Linked DNA regions of Canis lupus familiaris. The protein of the gene in region 1 interacts with the protein of each later gene in a biochemical or structural test. Links are inferred from orthologs where the notes say so. Each region holds a gene or a part of one and is shown on either strand. Other genes may lie near its edges.

Region 1 (3,077 bases):
ACAGGCAGCAGTGTGACTGAAGAAGACGAAGTCCTTGACCACAGGACATTGGAATGACTCAGAATTAAGTAGGTGTGTGGGCACCTTTCAATCCTAACAACAACCCATGAAATAGTGTTTAGCACCTGCTTTTTATCAATGAGGAAAGGAAGGCTCAGAAAGATTAAGGGACTTTCCTCTGCTAACAAGTAACTGAGCTGGGAATCCAAATAAGGTTTGGATCCAGATCCAATGCAGAACGATCTGTGGGAATGGGGAGGCGGTAGAGATGGAGTAGGAAGTTTGAGCACCCCCTCTAGGGGATGCCTTTAACCCTACCAAGATTTAGGGAAGCTTTGCAGAGGAGGTGACACCTAATATCCATCTACAGGTAGTGATTGGGGCCTTCACAGTTAGCTGCCCTGGGGGTGATCACTGGTGGGCAACTCTAGTGCAGTGCGGAGCCCTGTCTGGACCATGCTCCAGAGGGGCTTGCACTGCCTCTTGGGGACAGATGGATTTCTGCCATTTGGTTTATACTCACATAAGAGTAAATAATAACAGGCAAAGGTACCTGTAAGAATGAAAGAGCAAGTGAAGAGGAGGGAGGAAGGGTCGGCTGGCAGAGTAACGGGTCAGCTTTGGGTTCTATTTCGAGTCCTGTTGGCACTGATGACTTTAGACCTGTTGGTTAATTTTCTGTGGATTACTTTCTTTGTATATGAAAGAAAGATGAAAAATCCTAACCCAACACACAGACTAATGAGAAATTAGAAACGAATGTGCTTGAGAAGTTTTAAAACTTCACACAACAAGGAGCTATCCTCAGCATCGGTATTTGTGAGTGCTGACTGGTGGCTGAATAGGCTGGCAATCATGGTCCAGAGCTATATGCTTTTTGACCAAACATGATGCTTCATGGACTTGTAATGAGGGTCCGGAGTCACCAGATCTCAGAGCTGAGCCAGTGCTGCTGTCTGAAGAGGGTGTATTCAGGGCTGAGGCGTCCAGACTAGTCCCCAGCAACCCTTCCCACTGCCTTCCCCGGGGGAGTCAAGCCACTGGGCAGGAAACAGCACTAAGGACAGGTGTCAGGCACACACCGCCCGCCCTCAGCTGCCTCAGGTGGGCAGGCACAGCACTCAAGGGACTCTGCATACAGTGCTAGCAAGTTCACATGGAGCCAAAGGGCAGAATTTCAGGGGCTCTGTCCCTTCCTTTTTTTTTTTTTTGTAAGATTTAATTTATTTATTCATGAGAGACACAGAAAGAGGCAGGGACTCCCTGAGGGGAGCCTGATGCGGGGCTTGATCCCAGGATCCCGGGATCACAACCGGAGCCAAAGCTCAAGCACTGAGCCACCCCGGAGTGCCCTGGCTCTGTCCCTTCTTGAAAAAGCCTACCCATCCATGGTGTGACCATATCTCCAGTCATCTGAGCCAGCCCTGCAGATAGATGCCTACTGTCCCAGGTAATTATGGCCAGCAGCCCCTTTCACTCTCAAAAGTCTCCCAGTTTGGACGGTGAATTCCAAGGTCACCCTGCCCTTGGGCTCCGGTGGACTAACCCTTGTTTCTGTTTCCTGGCAGGTGCATAGCGTAATGTCCATGTTGTTCTACACTCTGATCACAGCTCTTCTGATCGGCATCCGGGCAGAACCGCATCCAGAGAGCCATGTCCCAGCAGGACACGCCATCCCCCACGCCCACTGGACTAAGCTTCAGCATTCCCTTGACACAGCCCTCCGCAGAGCCCGCAGCGCCCCGGCCGGGGCAATAGCTGCCAGGGTGACAGGGCAGACCCGCAACATCACTGTGGATCCCAAACTCTTTAAAAAGCGGCGACTGCGTTCGCCCCGCGTGCTGTTCAGCACGCACCCCCCACCTGTGGCTGCGGACGCTCAGGACCTGGACCTGGAGGCCGGCAGCACCGCCTCCGTCAACAGGACTCACAGGAGCAAGCGGTCTTCGTCCCACCCTGTCTTCCACCGGGGGGAGTTCTCGGTGTGCGACAGCGTCAGCGTGTGGGTGGGCGACAAGACCACAGCCACCGACATCAAGGGCAAGGAGGTGATGGTGCTGGGAGAGGTGAACATTAACAACAGTGTGTTCAAACAGTACTTCTTTGAGACCAAGTGCCGGGACCCCACCCCCGTGGACAGCGGGTGCAGGGGCATCGACTCCAAGCACTGGAACTCCTACTGCACCACCACCCACACCTTCGTCAAGGCGCTGACCATGGACGGCAAGCAGGCTGCCTGGCGGTTCATCCGGATCGACACGGCCTGCGTGTGCGTGCTCAGCAGGAAGGCCGGGAGACGAGCCTGACCTGCGGGCCGGCCCCCACCCTCCCCGCGCCCCCCTCCACACCCTCCTGGGCCCCTCCCTACCTCAACCTGTAAATTATTTTAAATTATAAGGACTGCATGGTAATTTATAGTTTATACAGTTTTAAAAAATCATTATTTATTAAATTTTTGGAAGCATCCGGGGTGCCGGCGCTCCAGTTCTTTCTCCCAGTGTGACCATGTGCAAGCCCCGGCCGCTGTGCTGTGCGGGTGGACTACCCACAGCGTCCCCTGGCTGTAACTCTCACCCCACCCCAGCCAGCTCTGCAAACTTCAGGGAAATCTGACTGGGTTCACATATTAGCCTAAGCCGGACATAATTAGAAAGGGAAGTCTGCTGGATTGCACTCTGCTCTGCATTCCAGAGCCAAAGCTACCTAAATCCTTGGATTACCTGTCCCACCGCCCCAATGCGTGGGCCTTGATTGCTTTACTTGGGGGAAGTCCATGGAGCCTCAGCAGAAGCAGGTCCCCACCTCAGCGATGCCCAGGCTGGGTCCTGGGGGCGACTCGCTGTATAGTAGGAGGAGACTTGCACCAAAGACCTATGAGGTTGGCTTGTTTTTAGGGGGAGATGTGCTTTTGCCTGAAATGCTGTCTGGAAGAACGGTAATGAAATAATCTCTGTCATGGTAGATCTGATTTCATGGTAACATTGCCTTAGGACTAACGGCTGGTCCCCACCTAGCCCCCAGGGGCTTCCTGCCCAAGTCTTCATTATCTGAGAAAACATGAAGGCCTCTAGCCCTCT
Region 2 (3,819 bases), on another chromosome or scaffold:
TGCCCCCACCCTGGACCAACAGGATGTGACAGAGTCCAGGCTTCGAGCCACTTAGCAGAATTGCTTCTGTGAGCCTCAGTTTCCCCAGTTGTCAGAGAGGAGGTGATGGCATCCCTCAGCATCTTGGCTTCTGGAGTAGCTGTGTGGAATGATGTCTCCTCTTCCTTATGGGACTTCCCACGGGGGTCATGGACTATGTCTCATGGAAAACTCTTAGTTCAATCTGGGTAAATAGTTGTTAACTAGTAACTAGTTGCTAATTAATTAGTTAACTACAGGGAAAGCAATTTCCATTCTCCTTTGGCCCTCTTCAGATTCTTTCTGGCGGATCTTTCTTCATGCCTATCCTGCTCCCTCCTCTTACGTGGTTTCCTCTTTGGGCATGACTGCAACTCTCCCCTCACACTGCCTCCCGCCTAGGCTCCGGCTCCGTAGCTCAGCCTGAGACAAAACACTTCTTCGATAACTAACATTTATTGAACTCCTACTATATGCCGGACAGACTTGCATCAATTATTTCATGCAATTTTCAGGGCAACCCTGAGCAGTAAATATTATCAACCCAATGCTTTAGGTGGGAAAAATGCATGCTTAGAGAGCCTGAGAATTGCCCCAAAGTAGCAGACTGTTAGGTAGCAGATCTGGGGTGTTCAGAAATAGGACACATAAAACAAGCACAGGAAACACATGGTTACTAATTATGTGGCCTGGAGTCCAAATGCAAGACTTGGGAGAAGAGAGAGGACCACGGGGGAAGGGGGTGAGAGGGGGGAGCAGAGCAGGCTTTGAGGGAGAGGGACATGCACAGACCACTCAAGTGCCATGGACAGACCCCCTCAGCTTTCCAGCAACTGGAACCTAGTAAAAAAGCCACAAAAGAGGCAAGAAAGACCTTGGGAAAGAAAAAAGAGGGATCCGGAAGTGTATAAACACCTTCTTTATTTGATGCCTACAGCAATCCCACGGGGCAGGTATTGTCACCATTGCCTAAAGATGAAGAGACTGAGGTGCAGAGAAATTCCAGCCTGTCCCAGATCACCCAGCCCTAAGCGATGAGCCAGGATTCAGAGTAATGGAGGAAGACAGTATAGCTCATGCTTTTTACTCAGAGAATTGCCTCCTCCTGGTTCAGATCCTACCTACAATCACATTTGACATCTTCCCACCCAGGCTAATGACATAGTTTCTGTAGATTAAATTTGATGTAATAATTTAGGATGGGAGGGGAGGGGCTGCTCAGATCATGCCTTGGTAGCAGTGAAAACTGACAACTGATATCTTGACAGGAAGGAGGGAGACAGAAACACTTTAAAAAAAAAAAAAAGGCTGACAGAAGAACTCAGAGACAAAAGTGTGGTAATTTGGGATAAAGAACACAGGGCTTCACTGCACTGCAGCCCAGTATGATCACTGGTGTAAATACTGAGTCCCTGAGTCATGGGGAAACCATGAAGGTATGTTCTGGAATCAGAGGGGTGCAGCCACAGTTAGGTGATCAGAGCAGCAAATCCTCAACTACTGGGAAATTCAGCTATTCAGAAAGTCTCCCCCTGTCCCCTGTGCCACTCCCCAGCCTGGAGTTCTAGTAAATTGAGGTCATTGTATTTTCATGTTCTTAATTTCATAAATATACATGTTGGGTATATATGGGCAGCAGATCTGGGGAGTTTTACATATATATATATGTTTATATATATAAATATATATAAATATATATATATATATGTTTATATATATATAGCCTCCTGATCTGGGAGGCATGGGGGCCACAGGATCACTTCCCTGAAGAAATGACATTGAAGCATGAGCCCTCAAGGATGAAAAGAAATCCAAACAGACTCTTCTGGAATCTCGCTCTCCCTCATAGTGGAAAGCCTGCATCTGGGACCATGCCCCTGCCCCGGCCCCCGTCTTGGCTTCTGGTCTGCAGATGTTCCCAGACCTGTGTTCCTACCACCTGGGAGGAGATGGTGGCAAATACCCAAGGACCCCACTGTTATGCTGCCTGCACCCTCCCTGCTGGTCTCTTGAGGACCACAAGATGCCTCCTAGACTGATCCAACCTGTCCATCCCCTTCTTTCTGCTAAACCCTGGTTAGACCTCAGGAGATTTTAAAGGACTAGAGGGAAAGGGAGTATTTTTGGTTATGATTTTGCCAACGTGGAAGCAGAGTGTCCAAAATGACCTTTAACACTCCCCTTTAGTCCCATGACCCCATACTTCCTCTTGCATCAAATAGGAGCTGCGTGGTCTGAAGCCAGGGAAACAAGCTTTGGAGTTTTATTAGAAGATTTTTTTTTTAAGGAATAGAAACATAAAACAAGCGGCCAGAACTCGCCCCCCCCTGCCTCCCCCCACCTCCACCCCCCAGGGAATCTGGTGCTAAATCGTTCCATCCATGAGCAAAGAGCAAAGATGCCTCGGTGGCAGGAATCTGACTCCCCTTTCCCCTGGTTCCAGCACTGTTCCCACTGGCTGCATGGGGGCAGGGAGAGGGGAAGACTGGTGGCTGGAATTCAAGCCCTAGTGGAGCAGGGCTGCTGGGGGTGAGAGCAGCCGCTTTTTCATTGTCACTAACAGGCATCCCTTTTTCCCTGCTTGGTGCCAGATTCTTGCCAATCAGCTGGTTCTTTGCTCTGGCCCTGAGTGGTCTCTGTGTCCATGGATGAGGAGAGGTGAAGACTCAGAGAGGGAAAGCAGAGCAGGTCAGAGCTCCAGTTCAGAGTCAGGATTCGAACCCAAGACCCCACTCCTCTGCCTTCTGTTTTTGAGTACAGACACCTCCCATTTTTTTTTTTAAGATTTTTATTTATTTTAGATAGAGCGAGCGAGAGAGAGCATGAGCAGGGGTGGGGGCAGAGGGAGAGGGAGAAGCAGGCTCCCTCCCAGGATCCTGGAGGGGTGATCCCAAGACCCCGGGACCCTGACCTGAGCTGAAGGCAGATACACAAGCAGCCAAGCCACCTAGGCACCCCAAGACACTTCCCATTTATGTTTAGTATGTGGAATGGTAGAATTAAGGACCCGGAGGAGGGCCTGCTAGCCTTTGTTAGAAAAAGCTTCCCTCTGTGTAGACAGAGCCCTGCTGGTGTTCAGCTTGGGAAGCAGCATTTGGGCTAGAGTTTAGCTTCCAGTTGCCTCCTTAGCTGGCAGCCCTGTGTGAGCTGGAACCTGTTCTGGCCAAAGGACCACAGCTGGGTCCCAGGCTGTCTTGTCTTCCCCATGTGGTGTATCCTCAGGATTCCAGGAGTTGCCGTAACCCCAAGATGAACTCTGTAGAAAGTCAGCATCCGGGGCTCTGACCTCACACCCAGGCAGCCTGCAGAGGCGCCCTGTTCCCCACAGCCCTTTTTTTGCCGCCAACTTTGATGTGCTTAATGCCTCCGTGGTGAGCTCATCCCCGCCCAGGTGGTTCCAATAGAAGGCTTTAGGAGGGGGTGTTTGATCTCTTGGAAGATATCCCCTCTCGCTTCTCTTGCCAGTCTGACCTTCTGATCTCCCCTCCGCCCAGGTGTCCCTTGGAGGTGCCAAGGAGGCATGTCCCACTGGCCTGTACACCCACAGCGGCGAGTGCTGCAAAGCCTGCAATCTGGGTGAGGGGGTGGCCCAGCCTTGCGGAGCCAACCAGACCGTGTGTGAGCCCTGCCTGGACAGTGAGTACTGGGTGGTGGTCTGGGGAGGGGTGGGGAGGTGCATGCCCGCTAGAAGCCTGACAAGGGCTCTGCCTCCTGGCAGGGTCTCCAGCTCGCCTCTCTGTGGGCACCCGAATGGGTCCGACCCAGTATAGGAGGTGAGAAGGAAAGCTGAGCATGGCTGAG

Evidence for each region.
Region 2: the proteins of NGF (region 1) and NGFR form a complex in vitro, tested with the Homo sapiens proteins (2 studies listed by BioGRID and IntAct, with this or other methods). The link is inferred for Canis lupus familiaris from reciprocal best matches to the Homo sapiens genes NGF and NGFR.

The regions. Positions count from the first base shown.
Region 1 is NC_049238.1:53,428,225-53,431,301, reverse strand, and holds NGF (beta-nerve growth factor precursor), read left to right. Parts: upstream 1-1,580; coding exon 1,581-2,306; 3' UTR 2,307-2,358; downstream 2,359-3,077. UniProt on the Homo sapiens protein: Nerve growth factor is important for the development and maintenance of the sympathetic and sensory nervous systems.
Region 2 is NC_049230.1:25,556,595-25,560,413, forward strand, and holds part of NGFR (tumor necrosis factor receptor superfamily member 16), read left to right. Parts: intron 1-3,512; coding exon 3,513-3,654; intron 3,655-3,819. UniProt on the Homo sapiens protein: Low affinity receptor which can bind to NGF, BDNF, NTF3, and NTF4. Forms a heterodimeric receptor with SORCS2 that binds the precursor forms of NGF, BDNF and NTF3 with high affinity, and has much lower affinity for mature NGF and BDNF.